Arabidopsis thaliana: one gene and its partner. The protein of the gene in region 2 interacts with the protein of the main gene of each other region in a pairwise test. Each region holds a gene or a part of one and is shown on either strand. Other genes may lie near its edges.

Region 1 (10,195 bases), on a different chromosome or scaffold from region 2:
ATCACCAGGGTGTCCCAATGATTTACATGGGAGATGAATATGGCCATACTAAAGGGGGAAACAACAACACGTATTGCCATGACAACTATGTAAACCCCTTATGCTTTGCTTCCAGGGTGATTATAAGTAATTTTTTCGATCTTAGCTTTCCGACATTAACACAACTCTGATGCAGATGAACTATTTTCGGTGGGATAAAAAGGAAGAAGCACATTCTGACTTCTTCAGATTCTGCCGTATTCTTATCAAGTTTCGTGAGTATGTAATCTTCTTTCATGAGTCTATCGATCTTAATTGCTTAGTTGATCGCTTCACTTAGTCTCAAATCCAATAATTGACATGCTTCTTCCTTTTCACCTACTGCTATGTGTTTTCTTTCTTTTGCAATCCCCTGTTTCTCGGGTTTCCTCTGATCGATGGCCATTATGACTGTATTGTAGTGAATGTGAATCACTTGGCTTGAATGATTTCCCAACAGCAAAGCGTCTGCAGTGGCATGGTCTTGCTCCTGAGATCCCAAATTGGTCTGAAACAAGTCGATTTGTTGCATTTTCACTGGTACCATTTTCTCATACCCCTTCTCTTACATGGACAGTTTCCTTAGTGGGTGATATTAATCCCTTTTGTTTTTCGGTAGGTCGATTCTGTGAAGAAAGAAATCTATGTGGCCTTCAACACCAGTCATTTAGCCACACTTGTTTCGCTACCGAATAGGCCAGGATACCGATGGGAGCCATTTGTAGACACGAGCAAACCGAGCCCTTACGACTGCATAACACCGGATCTCCCAGAGAGAGAAACGGCGATGAAGCAGTATAGGCACTTCTTAGATGCAAATGTGTACCCAATGCTCAGTTACTCATCCATCATTCTCCTTCTTTCACCAATTAAAGACCCCTGAGTTTGCGTGATTCCTCCAAAAGCGTATTAGACAAAATCACAACATATGAAGGAATCTTCTCAAATGTGAATGAGATGCATATACAGACAACTATTTCGTTACCTATATAATGTATTATAGTAAAGGTTCCTTTTATGGTTAGAAGAATCTGAATGGGGTACCTTTGGTCGGCTTCAGATATGCCCACTCATTGTTAATAGATTCCTTTATCGTCTGTTAATCCAATCAAAAGCTTGTTACATCGTTTTCAGAATTCGTGTAAGAACAAGAAATCAAAGTTTTCATCTATAAAGTTATAAATGATTATTAGTACTCTATTATTTGCCTTTTTACTAATGTTATCAAAACAATCACAACCACAAATAAAGTTTCAGATGCCAATCCAAACAAATATAGCTCTCAGAAGTCAACACCATGGACGATAAAGAAATCTCTCAAAATCTTCGGGGTTTTATTAAAGAAATTAAAGTAAACAGACCCCTGAGGAAAAATAAAGAAGTAATGACCATACAACAAACAAGACTGACTCTATGTAATCTCCCAAAAACATCGACGACACAACATGAAACAAAAAAAGAACCAAAGTAGTATAGTACACAGTTTGTGGAAACCCCAAAACTCGAGACTAAAAATCTTTATATACAAACCTGTTTTTTGGGTCATATCATATTGGCTCCTTCAGGACTCTAACAGTTGTTGGACAATCTGTTCTCTGGCCAGCCAGAGAGTAGTAAGCCAATATATGAGCCGGATGCTCCATCTCTCTTATCTCTCCTTGTTGATTCACTTCCGGGACTCTTCTTGATGGAATCAGCTCGATGTTCCAGTACGGTCTAGCCATCTGCATTAGATCTTGTCCCGTCATCGATGCTCTGTAACCTTGTACCCACAAGTATCTCAGTGAAGGCAATTTTGTAACCGCTGCAGCGATTGCTCGCTCACTGAAGCAACAACCTCTCATCTCTAGCTTCTGTAGATTTGGACAGCCTCTTGAGAATTCCATTAAACCTTCATCTGATTCACCTACGTAACCCAGCAGCATCCATCTCACGTTTGGACTGTACTGTCCGATGTAGCTTAAGCCCAAGTCGGTTAAGCCGCCTTGTCTCAGATAGAATGCAAATCGTCTGAGTTTCTTGCATCCAATCAAAAGAGATCGGACTCCGTTGTCCAGTGGCAGATCTGTAATCCTTTCTTCCCGGTCGAGTAAGACAAGGCGGAAGTCACAGAGGTTTTTCAGATATGTGCCTATGCTTTCAAGAGATTCGTTAGTTATATCTGAGACATACACCGCCATGTATTCTAGCTCCTGGCAGCCCTGAGCCAAAGCGATTAATCCTCTTTGTGAGACTAAGCCTTCTTCGTCCTCCATTCCTTGTTCATCTGCACCGCGTTCAATCCTCAGCCGCTTCAACTGCTTACAGTACTGTGCAAGGACCTCTAGACCCCTATCTCCGATTACATTCCTTGTCTGAAGAAAAACAACAAGTGTTGTCAGTCTTATATAGATGTAAAGACTAAAGAGAACCAATATTGCATTCATATCCCTTATCTCCCCAAATATTTCGTGAAAAAATAGGAACACAATTTAGTACTAAGGACGCATTCCCAAGTATGTAGTAAAGACAGCAAAGTTAAACGTTTACCTCGAGAACTTCCAAATTAGGACACTTTTGGATAAGCGTACAATGGTCTTCAGTTTCTAGCAATGCATAAAGCAAATCCAGCTTTCGGATTTGGGCCGCGAATGGAAATAGTATTGGCATTTCATTAGGTCCCATGTAAGAGAGACCAAGCCGACATAGTTTTCGGGGAAAAACCAGATTCATGTACTTCTCAGGCATTCCAATATCCTCATTCAAGGAGCCACCACAAAATTCTTCAAGATTAGCTGCAGCCTTAAAGAACCCAACTAGTTCCAAAATCTCAAAGTCACCGACCTTCACAGATACCAGAGAGCGGCAATTTCTAGCTATGGTTTCCAAGTCTTTGGGACTGATTTTGGCAAACTCCGTCATGTAGAAGTTTAAAACCTCAAGAGATGTGTTGTGCTGAGCAAGCTCATGAAGCCACTTACCATCCTTTTCACTAAAAGAACTCTCTTCCATTAACAAAGTTTTTATTTTCCTGGACAAGACAACAGACAGTTGCATGAATAAAGTGAGAAACAACTCAAGATATTTGGATTTCCCGCTAAAACTGAATATGAAGAACAGCAGCAGCCGAATCAAGGATTCAAAAACCAAATAATACACATAAACTCTGGCAGACTGAAGATGTCAGAAATCAATCTTTTTGCTATTTATGCATAAACAAAGTGAATGTTCCCCAAAGAGGGAAAAAATTGGTTGTAGATAAAATCCGGATCAAAGTTTATACTTCCCCAATTGAGAAATAACTGAAGATCATTGCAATTTCTGCTTTAATAGCAAGCATAACAGTTGCAAAGCAATTAAGGATATAAGACAAACATGAACGCCTAAATACTGAAACTTTCTGAAATAAATGTTTCTGCTTATATTACTCTTAGTGTAAAGTGTACTAAGAAATCAAATGAAGTAAGGTTCACCAATTTCATTAAGGACAAAAAGTATCCACCAAAGTTACAACTTACCCAATTGAGCTAAAGAAGATCAAATCTTTACAAACACAAACTCAAGATATGGTTCTTTGTACAACGACGACTTATTAAGTTTTTTAAAAAGAGCCAAATGCATCTAGAGTTCTAGTCAAAGTAGGAAATGATAAGGAGTCGCTAAACCTCAAAAGCATCGAGCCAAAGTAGCTACAAGATACTGAGAAGTAAGTGTACCTGCAGTGTGTAACGATGCTCAAAAGTCCATCAGTAGTAAAACCAGAACACTTGTCTAGCTTCAAAGTCTCAAGATCATCTGCTCTAGCTTTAGCTAAACGATCTAGATCTAAGTCACTGACAATCATCCGTCGGAAGTGCACCGATTTGAGCTGCCTAAGGTTGTTAGAAATCTCAGTAACCCAAGGAGTAACATAACCTCCCCAGTTCTCAGGGATCAGATTAAACATAGCTGCTCTAGGCTTGCCTTTAAGCTTGAGCGACCTCAAGTTCGGGAATCGACGGCTAAGACGATCAGGCGTCGCAGTGTAGCAAAGCGCCATAGTCACATGCTCTCTCGTCTCGGAATCAATCTTGAACCATCTCCGACACACCAAAGAAGCCGAATCGCGATCTTTCGGGTCAGTTATATAGGTCATGACTTGCTCGATGACATCATCAACCGTCGCGACGCAGCTCAATTTACACCTCTTGATATCAGGATCCTCCATCGGATCGAAAAAAAAACAAAAGAAAAAAACAAACGAATCCTGGAAAGATTCGATTTAGAGAAGAAACCGACGACTTCGAATTGAAATCGAGGTCGCAGATCCACACATAACCACCAGAGTGAGAAGAAAGAAGTAAGAAAGGAAAGATCCGGTGAATCGGAGAAGACTAGAGATTGAGAGAGTGAGGGAGAAGAAGACACGCGTAGGAAGAAGAGGCGGATTGGGAGGAAGAAGAAGAAAGTGGGACGATGGAATCAAATTTTGTTTGGTTAATAATATTTTTGAGGATCAAGTGGGACGATCATTATTTCATACACTGAAGTTGACGGTCGAGATGCGATCTTCTCTCTACTTCTATGTTTTTCTTTTCATTTTTGCAGTGGTCAGATCTCAGCTACACGACAATATTATTAGAATATTTAACTGATCCAATAAGCTGTGTGATTTATTCGATGGATAGATTTAATTATTTCTTTATAGAGTATTAATAACCTGAATCCTAAGCAAAAAATTTAAAAATACTAAATACTAGTATATGTTATCTTTGGTTGCTTTATATGTGATTAAAATAAAAATACAATAATTCTCCTTTCTTTTGTAAGATAAAAATTTTCTACAGTATTAGTAGCTTTTAATGAGGAAAAAAAAAGTTGTTGACTGCATGAATTTATATGGTCCATAATATGGTTAACTATATATTATGGACCATATGAATATAAGTATATAACAAAAAACTACATTTAATGATGTATGATTTTCAAGGTTTATTTGGTACAAGTTCAACATCAATTGTCGAAAGAAAGCGCTCAAAATGGTACTTTTGGAACAAAGACTATTTACATGTCTTTTTTTTAACGTCTTTGGGATTAAATCATTCAGCAACAAGACTTAAAAAGCAGCAAATTATTAACTTTTAGTGCTTATTACAGTTGCGAAAAGAACCAATCACATTGAAATTTCTTTCAGTGACAAAAGTTTTTCCAATAGAAAAAAAAAGCTCAGGAAAAGTATTAGAAAGAACAACAATGACTATGAATAAGGAGGGAACCATGAAAGAAAATGAATACTGCAAAAGAACTTTTTTATTATGATCGTATTTCTTAGCTTCATTTGAAACTCGGAAATAACAAAGGTAATATAAGCAAGCTACAAAAAACCCGACTAATTACACCTGAAACCAAAAGACTTGGGCTGAACAAAACCAAAAACTAGGCGAGAGATGAGTTTTCTATACACTTAACTCGGACCACACTTACAAAGAACCAAAAAAATTAACCAGAAGTCTCTCTGGGAGGCGCAGGCACTGCTTCGCTTGAGCTCACACTCTCACCACCACCATCTCCTCCCTCAACTGAACTCGGTTGTTGCAACCCAATAGGTGCAAACAAGCTCACACCACTCACATCCCGGCTCACACTGTATAGACCTCTGCTTCCATGATGGTTCAAAGGTGTAGATGTTGTTGCATTGGCTCCGCTTATGAGCAATCGTAGTGTTTCTCTTGCACCTTTCTCGACCAGCGAATCATTCTCCACTGGGAGCGGAGGGATGCCCGTGGATATTATCCCGGTGGGTCCAGCGCTTACCAGATAGCTTTGACCTGAAGAGAAGATATCGATAACTGGAATATGAACAATAGGGTCGCACATTATAGGAATCATCATCTGTTGCTGGGATGATGATGATGATGAGCCTGGAATGGGTATGTGGTGGACTAATGGTAATGGAGGGATGTCAGAGAGATCGAGCGGTGATGACGGGATCAAGAATCCATCTGATCCCGATGCTGGTAATAAGGAGGAAAGTGGCGGAAGGGAAGGTAGCTCAATGGATAGTGGAGGGAACTGATAAGAGGCAGATGGTGCGTGAAGCGATGAAGTGGTTGGAGGGCACCAGCAATAATAAGGAGAAAAGACTGGTGGACCCATCTTCAAAGGAAATGGGGGAGGTCCGGTCATTGTACTTGGTGTTGACTCTGCTTCTTCAAAAGCAATAATTTGTCTGATTCCATTATAATTCTCAGTAGCTTCTTCAACTTCTCCTTCTGACTGGATAAAACCCTCTACATTGGTGGGGATAGAGGTAATGGATGAATTATCAAAGATTGAGAAATGGCCTTCACTGTGTCCCTTTGATTTATCTCTAGAGGAGATACGTAGAGAAGCATTTCTCAGTGTGTTTTCTTTGAAGGAGCTTGCTCTAGGGCTGAGGCTTCCTTGGGTCTTTGTCTGTTGAGTCCCACAGTGGCGTGCTCTAAGAGATTTTGATGATGCACTCGAGGAGGAATCAGCTGTTTCAGAAAAGCCAGAAGATGATGATGAATCAGGAGATGGGACCTGACAACCTTTGATGTTAGGCACCACTGAACCCATGAGATACAAACGGAGATGAGAAGCAACAGAGCCAAGACGTGATTCTTCAATTCCAGTTAATTCTGAGATTGATGGCTTCTTCTTGATCAAGTCTTTCATCTACACAGGATAACAACAGATGATGAGAAAATTTAGATGCACAGACAAGGATTTTAAAACAACACTATTTCACAAACCTTCCTACGCAATTCAGTTCCCAGAAGTTTTGACTTCTCTGAGCACCAATAGTAAAAAGCATTGCCATTTGCGATCCTTATAACAAAAGATCTACCAGAGCTGTCCACAGTTATCTCCTCAATTGACACCGCAGAGCACTGAGATTTGCTGGTATAGGTAAAGAGTTGTTCTGAATGACCATTGTCTCCAATAAATGAGAGTCTCAAGTCAGATGTTGGCAAGACCATAAGGCTCAGGTTACCCCTGACCAATAGGAGATAAAACGTCAAGAAATCAGTCGGAAAAACACTCTAATATCAAAATCAAAAGCACTAACAAATAAACACTAGATGCTGAAAACCAGAAGTTGGATCAAGTCCAAGAGCTTTTAAATGCTTGCAAGTTACCCTTAATTCAAACTACATCAAAAGAATCTACCAGATAAACATGCAGAACTGTTTACAGAACAGCTATGTTATTAGCCTATTACTAATATTCACAAAACATAGGGTACTGCCGGAATAAACATTATGTTCAATAATTTGGTACTTGACACTTTTTAAGACTGTGGCTTAGCTTAACTGAAACTACATTATTCATAACTTAGCATAGGGACCTGCAACTTAGAAGCTAGAACAAAAAAAGATGATAACATGATTATCTAAGAGCTTCCTGAAACGAACTTTATATAGATCCATTGTAATAAGTTTGAACAGAATAGTACCACCAGAACACACAAAAGACCTTTTAAATCAAATAAGTAGTAACGATGAGAAAACAAAAAGCTTAAATTTACAAAAAAAATACCATTCAATGAAAGCCATAGCGAGATAATATAAAGTGATTAAGAAGGATATATAGTCAGTGATGTTATGACAAAACAGAGAGAAAATTAAAGCCCTATATGACTAGAAATCAAGAACATACTACACAACATTGGTGATGAAACTACCTTTACTTCATCATCTACCAGAGATCATAACAGATTACGCCCACATTACCTACAATAAAAGATACATTTTATTTGGAAGCATGAACAGTATCACTATACGACTGATTGAGATCCTATGATTTCTAAAATTTTAACTAAACCAACGCAAATTATGGATAGACCTTATTACTGAAAGCTAGATATACATTGATACAAACATAACTAACCATATGAACTAAGACTATGTAATACCCCAACCTCCAAAGTGTTAGCACATAAAGAACTGCAAAAGGTCAGTAAAACAGAGATACAACCATTCATATGAAAATAGGTATAGTATTTGATAAAATGAGACCAAACATGGAGAAACTCAGCGAGAGAGTATCAATAAAACTAAAGCAGGAATTGTATGTGTGCACCCAAAAAACTTACTTTGTATCAGCAGATGATTTCAAAATCACTACTGATTCAGATAATCAGCCTGCAATTGAACAAGCATTCATAAAATCGCCTAATCAATGACAGATTACACACAAACCATTAATTAACATTCTGGTATATGCTATGCTACATCTCTAACATAAGAACCGTCTTCAAAGACAACAAAACCTAACTAGAGAGCTATAATTCACAAATCTCTAAGACAACAAAGAGCGAACAAAGAAAATAGCAATTAACACGATTATAACAAAAACAGGACTCATTGATTACCTTATGGGAGTGGGGCGCATTAGAATCCCTTCCTTTATAATCTTCCCGACGCGAACCGAAACCAGAGGTATGCAAAAACATCTAGCCAGCATACCAATTTCCGCAGGCTCGAAGTGCTATTCAATAAACAAGAAATCAGTATTATTATCTCAACAAAAATGGAAACCAAAATCATCGAATTCAGAAACTATTCAAACCTGGCTAAGATGCGCAAGCAATCGATCTTCAGCCATTCCATTAGAAACGTTAAGCTTCAACAACGGCTTCAATCTCTCATCACCTCGACAAGCTCCCATAACTTGCATGTCCAAAGCTTGTAACCACCGTAAAACCCTATCCTCTCCAACCAAAAAGTCTCCTCCGGTTGCATCAGTCAACGGATCTGAAACTCTACTCTCAATCCTCGTCAATTCATTCTCTCCTTCGGTTCCATTAAATTGAGAGTCATCAGTCGTCGACGACGAAATAGACAAATCATCACCGTCATTTGGTTGATCATCACGGTGCTGATGATCGTCTCCGGTATCTCGCTTCCTAGAATCGGCCATATCAAATATCGTATCGGTAACTTGTCAGAGAAACCAAAAACTCGATCCAGAAATTGACAAAATAAAAAAAGTTCGTCGAGTTTCAAAATAAAAAAACCTAAAGATTGATTAGTGCTTTCAAATTTCAAAGAATCAAATCCAAATTGAGAGAAGAGGTAGGGTTTGTTCTAATTAAATTTTTTTTTTTTTTTTTGATTGATGTTGTTTCGAGAGAGAGAGAATAAAAATATCTTTAATTGAAACAAGTGCCTTTTTTTGGATGCCCTTCGCGGAAGATGGAAAGATAAGAAAACCAAAACAGCACAACGTTTACGTTTATATAGGTTAGATGTTCTGGCGGATTCGAAACGATTTTATTTAATTTATTTTATTCAAAACATTTGAGATCCGGGGCTCGTTTTGATTGAATCCTATGGTGGGTCCTACAAATTTAGGAGTGGGTTCCTTGCAAAACCTGACTTCGAGCTGGTGCCACGTCAGCTTTTAATGGGCCCTAGCAAAGGATGGGCCTGTGTTTTTTTTTATTGCAAACCTATATTTTTCTTTCGTTGAAATTGATCTTCGGCGATGGACAGGTTGTATTTTGTGGCCAATGAATGGATAAAAAATGTATGGATTATAGCATGTGATTTGGAATATTTTAAAATTCCACTACGTTATGTTAATACGAGGAGAAAGTTTTTTCAAACGAAAATTGGTTTAATAGCTTCCATATTTTTAGAGATTTATTTTATTATAAATTTTTATATTAATTTTTTTTTTTTTTGACCGCTGCTATGATTAGAATTTAGAACTATGAAAAGCAGGAAAAACAAAAATTATGGTATCTTTTAAAACACAATTCTTTACATTATTTTATTTGGAGTTTTATATGTTTAAAATTGTATATCCAAATTTGGATTGTCATCTTACATCAAGAAAGTTATTCAATACTTTTGCAAAATCATAGAGACCCATCTCTTGTTAAGCTGTGGAATTTTTTATAACGGAAAATGGAAAATTTTCTAATCAAAAAGTGCTAAAAAAAGGCGACTCCAACCAACTACAATCACCAAATGAACTTTCCCAAGCCATACGAGAAAGAAAAGGCTGTCTAAAAAGAGACTAGAGTCATCCAAGCCACTCATATCATATGTAGGTGTTTTATCATCAATCATACAAAATATTACGAATCAAATCATCCACAATTCGTGAAGCATTTGACCTTTTTTTTATGTATGATCTAGTACAAATAACTAAACGACAAGCATATACTTGATGTGAGCCATTGGCT
Region 2 (10,195 bases):
TCAATGTTATTGATTGCGCATTCTGATATGATAGATAATAAGTAACTATATCGAATAAGTTGAAAGTTGTTTGGAGAGCTATGATATGGTTTATTCGTTCCGTCCGACGTTGTAAATTCAACACTAAGCCTACATATTACAGAAGAAACCATAACAAAGTTTACCATCAAAAGATTAAAGTAATCGATTAGAATGGGTATTGATCTATATATATAGCCCTTCAATATATATAGAGAGGTTGCATATAAAATGATACAAATAGAGAGGTGGGGGTATGAAGTGTTATAAAGGGTTTGCAGAGAGAAAGAGAGAGAGAGGGAATATGGGTCCTCCTCACACATATGATCTACTAAAACTAGACTAGTACCTAGTTTGTCCCTCGAATTTTATTTTTCTTCTTGTAATTTAATTAAGTCAGTGTGACTCTAAGAATCTATAGAAACCACATTTTATATATATGGTCTCATTTGAAACAACACACACATAAGAGATAATGTTGAATTAATGAATGTGCATGTGCTGATTATGGAAGGGTAAAGTTAGAGGTATATATGGGAGGTCAATGATGCAACTTGGAGGAATAGTTTTGTGAATATGTCCTTTTGTTTTCTTGTTTGTTTTTATATATGTAGAATCGAATAACAAAATAGACAACAATCATGAATATGAAACACATATAGCAAAGGAAAAATTAGGAGAGGTAGAATTTAAACTGAAAACTCCTAATACGGAAGTTTAGTGTATTCCTCATACAATAAAAATAAACAAATTTAATAGAAATGGATAGAGATTTTATTCTCCCTCGGGATTGCTTATTGCTGCGTAACCACGTGTTGAGTCAAATAAAGTCAACAACCCTTACAGTAATTATAAATTTCGTTTACTATTATATGAATACGATCATGAAAATGTTGTATTTATGCTAAAATATATCAATGGCATATCCAATTTATTTCACAGTTTATCGACACTCCAACATGGTGGCACTGGTTTCGCGCTCTCTAATGTTCAACATGGTTTTTTTTTTTTTTTTTTAACTTTTGTAATTTCAATTTACGATAACAGTTTAAAAAAAAAAAGAAATTTAAAGACGAAATAGCTATGGGTTCTAACTTCTAAGTTAAATGATGAGATTCCGAATAGTTGCCCTATCAAGTATTATAAGAGTGATAGGCATTGGAATGATATAGAGATTTTTTTTATAACTTTCAATCTTTCATGACTTCACACTTTAGTCTATATTCTCTAACTACTCTACAATTTTAAAAAGTGAAAAAGACAATTAGAAAATAAACCTGTGGTGTTTATATGCTCTAGTGATACTATATACCCAACTACTGTAATTTGTATCCTATGGGCGAAAAGCCTACGTTAAGAAATAAGCATGCGTTTGATTTAATATCTCTACAATTATTCAACTTTTATTAGCATGTTTAATGGTAATTTAGGGCTAGGGACTATATAGTCTATATCTTACAGATGTAATATATTGATTACCAGGTACAGATCAAGAACTTGCGCTTAGCTGTCTATAGTTTGAGATGATAAATGAACTAAAAAAAATGCAAATGAATCATTAATCATCTTCATAAATAAAAATCATCTGTTAAGTGTAAACACAAACAATTCTTATTTTTTTTACCTAATGCGTTGGAAACAATCAAGAGAGCAAAATGATGATGTCAAAGAAAGAATGTGGACTGTAATGCTTTTGCCTTGTGATAAAGGTTCAATGGCTTATAACCTAACCACTGTCTATATCTTCTCCTTCAGAGTATGAACTGCCAGAACACCAAAGAAGATGAGAGACACAATTTTCGATTTGGATTAAACAGAGCGAGACAAAGATCATTGTCGAATTTAGGTTTAATAATACCAGAACAAATCATACATAACAGTAATGAGTAATCTCAAATTCTCAATCCCTCTGAAAGAACTAGACAACCTTAATATTCATCACCAATAAAGACACGATGACCAAGCAATAATTTGTACACTTGTAACAAACACTCTCTGAGACAGAACAAGTTTTGTGTATTAGCTAATCAGGTTTCATCATAGCTTGAATTCCAAACACATTGCAGCATCCATCACAAAAACTGATTATCAACCAATATCATCTAAAGACTAATATCTCAAGCAGAATTCTCTATAAGGTATCCACATATCAACATAGCTTCTCAATTCACTACGCGGTAATCTCTTCTTCCACGCATCAAGATCCGGTAAATCACCCGTTAAAGCTACCGAGCTATCATTCCCATTCCCAAGCGTTAGAACAAATAGCTTATCTCCAAAAACCTGACTCATCACTCTCAACGTTTCCTCCATAACCAAAGCTCCATCTCTATCTGAATCCTCAGCTTCCACACATTTACCTCCAACATTCACCATAATCCTCCCTCTATATCTCAACCTAGATTTCAAATCCTCCCACACTTGAGGATCTTGAAGCTCTTTGATCACACTCCCTTTACTAAACAAATCCACTAAAATACCCGAAAACCCGGTTTTAACACTAGCGTTCAAAGCATCACCAATGTTGATAAAAATCCTATCTTTATGATCTCTTTCGAGCTTAGAGAGACCAAAGAACTCTCTACCAACGTCAATCACGGAAGGGTCAAGTTCCCATCCATGGACAGCGATCTCAGGAGGATAAAGCTCAAGAATCAATCTAGCTGTTGAACCAGCTCCGAATCCGAGAATACCAATTGGTCCGGGAGGTATAATCGGAGGCAGAGTAGCGAAAACGTCGAAGTAACTATCGGTTAAGGTTTTAAGAAGGAAAGAGATGCTATGGATGTTACCGGGATTATCGAGAAGGAGGAGACGAGAACCAGCGAGTGGGTGATTGGTTTTTCGTGAAACTTCGATGACTCTGATGTAATTGTGACGGGATTTGAATTTGGCGATGGTTTTGACGTCCTCTGCTGGGATTCCGTTATCGTCGGCGGAAGTTTTGTTGCGGTGAGAGTCGGTTCGGATAAAGATTGGATTTTGCGGAGGTTTTGGCCGGAGATTGAGAGTTAAAGGAGGAGAAGAGAGGTTTAGAAATTGACGAGAAATGTGAAGTGGAGGTCGGAGGTATTGAAGAGACACAAGCTCCCTGGCCATGCCTGTTCTTAGTTACCGGGAAAATTTCGATGAATTTGGGTGATGATGAGACTTCAGTGGTTTGTTTAAATCCGTTCGGTTTAGTAACAGCTTCAATGGTTTAATTTTAGGGTCTATTGCAATCGGTTTTCTTCGGTTTGGTAACAACAACTTCGGAGAAAGTAAAAAAAAAAGAAGAAGTAAAAGCCCATATTTTTTTTAAAAAGTTTCTTTGCATTTTTCACATATTCTGATTTTCTAACTTGGGCCAAAATACTAGTCAGTTGTCACTGTTCTAATCAATGCAGCGTTTTCACAGAACTCAAAAGGTTGCTGAAAAAACATCAAAGAATCATTCATTCCCCTAACTTGTTTCTTAAATCTGCCGACATTATCATATGGCAAAAGAGACACCAAACCATCAAGCTGGTTTAAGACGATGGAGGATTCACGTCTGGCTCTGGGTTATCGTCATCCATTTCATCTTCACCGGTAGAGTCCCTGTAGATTTTAAGAGACATCAATTAAATTATTTATCTCCTGTTAAGAAGTTAGACAATGAGGATCAATTCAAGTGTTGGTAGATTTGAGTAGGAGGAAGGTTTTTAATTACCTGTCCGTAGTTGCGCCACCACGACATGAGTAACCATGAAGAGGTTTATCATCATCGTCACTGTCTGATTCATAAGTCGCAGTTCCACTCCAGATGCGAGGTTTTGGTCTTGTCTCCATGTCATCTTCCGGCTAAGGATTTGAGATAGCAGATTTAATAAGTTGGTAGTCAATAGGACAGAACGCAACTAAAAACATCAAAGAGAGAAATGGATGACTGAAAAATTACCTCGTCCAAAACTCGATTGACTGGTGGTGTGTGCTGAAACTGGACGCTAGGTGCGTGTATTAGTCCCGAAAGTTGTTCCAGCAACGTGTTCCTGAAATTTCAAAAAGTAACTTTCTCTAAGTTCAATATATCCCATTGACAAGGCTAAGAAGGTAAGCTACTGAACATGTAAAGCTTTCGTTAACTATTTGGAACCGGCACAAAGATAAACTCATATGTTACATACAGAATTACAATCTCGAGGGAGCATCATTAGCATGTTAAAATTACTAAATTAGAGTGGACTAGCTAGAAGTTCAGTGGCAACTGAAGTACAATGACCATAAAAATGGAAAGTAGGAGATATTACCTTATCCTCTCCATATCTTTGGGCGTGTTTAAATTCTCCATAGGACTTGGGTCGACATGAAGCGTATAATCTGGGCCGAAATACTCAAAATACTCATTGTAAGGGAGTTTGTTGTCCGGCTCTACTCCAACAGCAACTGCAGTCTGCGATGAGGCAACAGAAACAAACACTTTCAAGAACAAAAACCTATATGATTATCAAAAAACATAGAAGAACTGCAAAGGAGATGGAAAAGACCTCATAACACCAGCAACGGGCAACATTTCGAATAGTATACCCTCCACCACCCAACACCATGAGAGGAACGTTGTAAGATCTTAAGAACCGAAGGCAATCAGCGTGACCCTTGACTGATAAGTTGAAGCAACCCAACCGATCACCACTTAAGGAGTCAGCACCACACTGAAGAACAACTGCCTCTGGCTGATACACTTCCATAACCTTCTGGATAAGAGGTCTAAACAAGCTGCGGAAACTTTCATCGTCCATACCATCGTTTAGTGGAACATTTAGAGCATAGTATTTCCCTTTTTCAGCGCCAACATCTCTTATGTGACCAGTTCCTGGGAAAAAGTCCCCAAATTTGTGGAAAGAAACAGTCATAACTCTATCAGTGGTGTAAAACGCTTCTTCCACTCCATCTCCATGGTGGACATCAATATCTATGTAGAGAACCCGCTGCAAACAAAATTTGATGAAAGCATTAAGATGTAAGCAATGGAAACATCGTTCCACACTCAATCAACATTTTGAATGATGCTATCAGAATACATTAACAAAGCAACGGAATCCTAATTAGAGAAACTTAAAGAACCAGACGATGAAAACAAAGAGGCAATGTAGAAAACCATTCTCAAACAAATCAACATCCTTATCAGAAACACCTGATGCACTTGACCTAACATGAGATTCTAAAGGTAATATGCAGTTTAGGAACATGAAAGGATCAAAGCTCATTCGATAATCACACAAGGCTTCAAGGTTTCAGGTAGATTTAAGAAAAACCACTCAAGATAAGCTTAAACCCTAAAAATTTCAGAAGAACATGAAGAAGTTCTCTATGATGAGATCATAAAGAAGGAATGGAGCATTTACCTTAAACATCTTGAGCAACTCCAGAATCCCTAGCACGATGTCGTTTACATAGCAAAACCCAGAAGCCTCGCTTTTCTTAGCATGGTGAAGCCCACCGCCCCAATTGATAGCGATATCAGCGTCCTGTCTGTTTAATTTGACGGCAGCACCAATAGAACCTCCGGCGGAAGCACGGCAAAAATCAAAAAGTCCGTCGAAGACAGGACAATCCTCACCGACATTGAATCGCCTTAGGTTTCGTGCAGCGGAAGGATCGCCCATAGATTCCGGCGAAACGGAAGCGAGGAAGTCAACATACTCCGGCGAATGGAATCGGCCGATATCGGAGGCGTCAGCGAGGCTAGGGCGACTGATTTCTAAGCGACGGTGGAGGTGATAGTGAATGATTAGGCTATGAGCCATACGGATCCGGTGAGGCTTCATCGGGTGGCCTTGACCGTAGTAGTAGTCTCCGATCGTCGGCTCGTAGAAGTAACTGACTCGCCGCTTACGTCCGTCGGGTCCCGACGGCAGAGAGATGCCGCTTTCGTCTGCCTCCATCTCCGTCTCTCACTCAGAATCTCTCTCTCACTCAGAGTCTCTCTCTATTCCCAAGTTTTACTCAGAGCAAAATTTGTGTCAACAATGCCTGAGAAAGTCATTACTAGGAGTTGTGGGCACAGCTTATATATACACGCACATTAATGATTACTTACATTATTATCTTTGCGTTAAAAATTTAATTTTAATAATTACTGAATGTTAAACTAACGATCGATTATATAATTCCAAATTCGATTCAAACATAGCGAATTATTTTTAACTTGTTTTCCTAATGGTAGACAATGTTAGACAAATAAATGTAAAGGGTTTTTTAGCTAAGTATGATCTATTTACACATTTCACCTTAAGGATTCGTAACTAGATGTTGTTGGGAAAAAAGAGAAGATATACATGTTCTAGATGTTATAGATGCTTACATTTGTCTAAATTCTATTCGCAATACTTGAATCTCCCAACCTAATAATCCACATCCGATTTTTAAAAACAAGTTTCATTACAGTGTTACGGTTGACTTGAGAGTAAAGTAGTAAAGTGTATTTAGTTGATAGAATTAAGAAAAAGGCAAAATGTTTAGAAATATCATGAAGAAGAAGAAGAAGAAGCAGCGAAATCAGCTAAATAGTTATATAGTAAATGTTTGTTCTCTACGACAAAGAACTTCTAGTCGAAACCAAACGCTGATCATCATCATCATAATTAAAGGTTTTCTCATAGAATCAAAATGATGGGATTCTCTTTACCAAGTCCTCTTTCCACCGTGAGGTACAAAGTTTGAAGTCGATCTTGACCGTTTATCTCCAAACCCACCACCACGTCCTCCTCCTCTTGGCCTGAAGTTTCTTCCACCACCTGAACCTGAACAAATCAACAAAATTGAATCAGATCCTCGTACCAAAATTTAGCAAGATTGATTGAACTCATCAAATGAGAGAAGAGAAATGAGGTTTCACCTCCATAACCAGAACCAGATGATCGGACTAGTGCGGAGAGAGTAGGAGGTACAACTTGACCAGCTTCTTGAAGGATCTTGACAAGCTCTCTCGCAAACTTAGCATTGTCATGTGTGAAGAATGTAAAGGCCATTCCTTTAGCTCCTGCACGCCCGGTTCGACCAATCCTATGGATGTAATCCTCCAATGTATTTGGGAAATCATAATTAACCACACATTTAATGTCCTTCACATCTGTAAAACAAAACAAAAGAAGAAAGAAGGAACACAGTTGAGAAGTAAATCATAGACTGAGATGAAATGCAGGAAGAAGAACAGAAATTTCTTTGTGTAAATGAGTTTGGTGTTTAAAGCCTAGCTAAGGAGAGGATAGAGAACAAGAACCCCTTATCCCTACAACTGCAGATCTGGAAAGATCAAGAAACTAAGAGCAACACATTTTTCCCAAGTAAATGTGCCCACCTTAACTTGCAGGGATAAGGAGTGTTTGGGACGGCGTTATAACACTATTAATGCATGCAGGTGTCAGTCGCCCAGGCTGCTCAAAAACCAATCAGCTCCATGCCCGGGAGATGGATGCAGGAAACAAATTCTTCAAAGAAGCTCCTTTTTTCTTTCTATGTGCTTTTTTCCCTAATACCAGAGGAAACTGTGGAAAGCGGCAGCCAGGCGACTTTTTTTATTATCTTTAAAACCCCAAGAAAACGAAATGCTCTAAGTATAATCTCTCCTATTGTGTATCACAGTTAATCCTACCAAGTCCCCTTGCTGCTACATCAGTGGCAGTCATTATCGGGCTTCGTCCACTCTTAAATTCTGCCAAGACTCGGTCTCTTTCCGATTGGGTCTTGTCACCATGTATGGCAAGAGCTGGCCATCCGTCCATTCTCAATTGTCTAGTCACTTGATCACACCCTCTCTTTGTCTCCACAAAAATTAGGATTTTACTCCCATCCATTAACTGTTTAAGTAGTGTAAGGAGCCTATCAAACGAGAAAAAAGGCATAAGTATCATATCATATAAGAAGGCAAATAAATATATATATAAATCGTTTCTTATCTAATGACAGAAAAATTAAGAACCTGTTGTATTTCTCTGGCGTCGGTACAATCTCGATTACTTGGTTAATAGACTGGTTAGCTTTTAGATCTGTTGATCCAATAATGGCCTACAAAATAACAACTGTTTTCAGTGCACAACATAAAACATCCCCTACTTTATTCAACAACAGTATACTCAATCCTAATAAGTTAAACTAAATAGCAAGTAAACCTTATATGGATCTCGTAGAAACTGCCTGGCAAGAGTTTCAACCTCTCGTGGCCATGTTGCACTCCAAAGAAGTGTTTGTCTATCAGGTCGGATCTGTGAAAAATAAGGAACAATCTCAAGTTCTGAACAAAAGCCGTGATGGTTCTTATTTAGCAACAGAACAATAAACTGGGAAGATAAAATCTATCGACTAATAATGTTGGTCAACCACCCTTTCCTTAAAGACACTACATGATAGCTTTGGAGAAAGTACAAACATACCTGAGATACAATCTTTCTAATTTGGGGTTCAAATCCCATGTCTAACATTCTGTCAGCCTCATCCAGTACAAGGTAAGTCACTCTCTTCAAATTAGTGTGTTGACATTCCAACATATCAATCAAACGACCAGGTGTAGCAATTACAATCTCAACACCTGACAAGCCAATCATGATTCATAAACTTTGATGTTCCATCCAAGAACCAGACATGAAAACTACACTATTAAAAAATAAAATACCTCTTCTAAGATCACGAATCTGAGGTCCTTTAGGAGCACCACCATAGATACAAGTACTTCTAACACCAGACCTCAACCCGAATTTCCTTGATTCCTCTTGAATCTGAACAGCTAGTTCTCTTGTGGGAGCTAATATTAACACAATGGGGCCATCATCCTGACCTATATTACACCCCAACAATGCAAATAAAAAAGTTGCCGGAAAAATGAATGCAGCTTAAATCAGAATATCACATAGTGCTGTAATACTCACCTAATCGAGGTTGTGCACTAACGTGAACCAATGCTGGTAACAAGTAAGCCAATGTCTTACCAGAGCCAGTCTCAGCAATACCAATCAAATCCCTACCCTTCAACGCCATCGGCCATCCCTGAGCTTGTATAGGTGTTGGCTCAGTAAATCCCAATTTAGCAATTGCTTCAAGAATGTTATCTAACAGATAAAAGGAACCATTAAACTAAGAACCCAAATTAGATATAAATGAACTGGAAACTCTATGACCAATCCAATCAAAATACCTGGAAAGTTAGCATCTTGGAACATCTTCATCGGCTTAGGAACATCACGACCTTCAACGGATATATCCCTCTCGGTTCTGTACATTGCAACATCCTGCTCTGTCATAGCTTGCACAGTGGGACTCTCCACATAGAAATTCTTCTCAAAATGTACAAGATTCCCAAAATTCTGCTTCGGAAGAGAAACACTATCTAGCTCTCTTTTACTCGATCCGCCACGTCCTCCTCCTCCTCCCCAATTCCCTCCGCCGTTTCTATCGCCGTATTGACCATATCCACCTCTTCCACCACCGCGGCCAACAGAGAAACCGCCACTAGGTGGCTGGAAAGATGGGTACCGATTATAGCCGGAATTATCACCGGCCATTACCGGAGATGGTCCATATCCTCCACCACCACCAGTGTACCGTGGGTTGTATGGTGCGGCGGAAGGATCCATCGGCTGAGACGAACCAACTGGGGCGCTAAAGTAACACAGAGAAGATAAGTGTTACAGATCGAAGGAAACAAAAACGAAGAAATTGGTCGATTGGTTTCACTTACCCAGAGCGTTGGCGATACGAATTTGGATCAGCAAATCTACGATCATACGAGCTCATTGTAACTTAAGATGGTTATGGTTTTTGATCTCTCGCTCTCTCGCGTAAATTCTACTACGTAACCTTGGAAACGAATTGATGCTACAGAAGGAAGATAGTGCAAGGAAGACGACGAAAAGCCGCAAAAGGAACAAAAAGCTTAGATTTTTTTTTTGATTCGTTTTGGACAGTAAAATTCCCAAATTAGTAACCCTAATTTGTCCCACCATTTTTCTGTTCTTTTTATTGCGCGAATTTAATTAATTTCCTTTATTTTGTTGGTAATCAGATATGGGCCATGACTAACCACTTAATGGGCTACAAATTGGACCCAAACAATTGTTTAACTTAAATTATTGGAGGTTTTGTGATGGGGGAGTCTATTGCTTTAAACATTTTGCCAACAGTGTCGAATCAAATTTGGAAAATCTTAAAGTTGCGATGGGATTTT

What was found.
Region 1: the proteins of HDA6 (region 2) and COI1 interact in binary tests that used the Arabidopsis thaliana proteins (3 or more experiments, as listed by UniProt).

What each region holds. Positions count from the first base shown.
Region 1 is NC_003071.7:16,671,283-16,681,477, forward strand, and holds COI1 (RNI-like superfamily protein), read right to left. Parts: upstream 4,583-10,195; 5' UTR 4,205-4,582; coding exon 3,714-4,204; intron 3,029-3,713; coding exon 2,548-3,028; intron 2,373-2,547; coding exon 1,566-2,372; 3' UTR 1,211-1,565; downstream 1-1,210. Other genes in the region: ISA1 (isoamylase 1), read left to right, coding at 9-89, 176-258, 441-558, 638-901; AT2G39950 (flocculation protein), read right to left, coding at 5,476-6,675, 6,753-6,996, 8,375-8,490, 8,572-8,922. UniProt on the Arabidopsis thaliana protein: Required for jasmonate-regulated plant fertility and defense processes, and for coronatine and/or other elicitors perceptions/responses. Seems to not be required for meiosis. Required for the regulation of some genes induced by wounding, but not for all.
Region 2 is NC_003076.8:25,312,307-25,322,501, forward strand, and holds HDA6 (histone deacetylase 6), read right to left. Parts: upstream 6,042-10,195; 5' UTR 5,922-6,041; coding exon 5,382-5,921; intron 4,965-5,381; coding exon 4,524-4,964; intron 4,430-4,523; coding exon 4,287-4,429; intron 4,029-4,286; coding exon 3,938-4,028; intron 3,841-3,937; coding exon 3,710-3,840; intron 3,598-3,709; coding exon 3,528-3,597; 3' UTR 3,200-3,527; downstream 1-3,199. Other genes in the region: AT5G63100 (S-adenosyl-L-methionine-dependent methyltransferases superfamily protein), read right to left, coding at 2,128-3,117; AT5G63120 (P-loop containing nucleoside triphosphate hydrolases superfamily protein), read right to left, coding at 6,661-6,779, 6,875-7,108, 7,631-7,857, 7,958-8,043, 8,148-8,240, 8,409-8,563, 8,648-8,809, 8,901-9,080 and 2 more. UniProt on the Arabidopsis thaliana protein: Responsible for the deacetylation of lysine residues on the N-terminal part of the core histones (H2A, H2B, H3 and H4). Might remove acetyl residues only from specific targets, such as rDNA repeats or complex transgenes.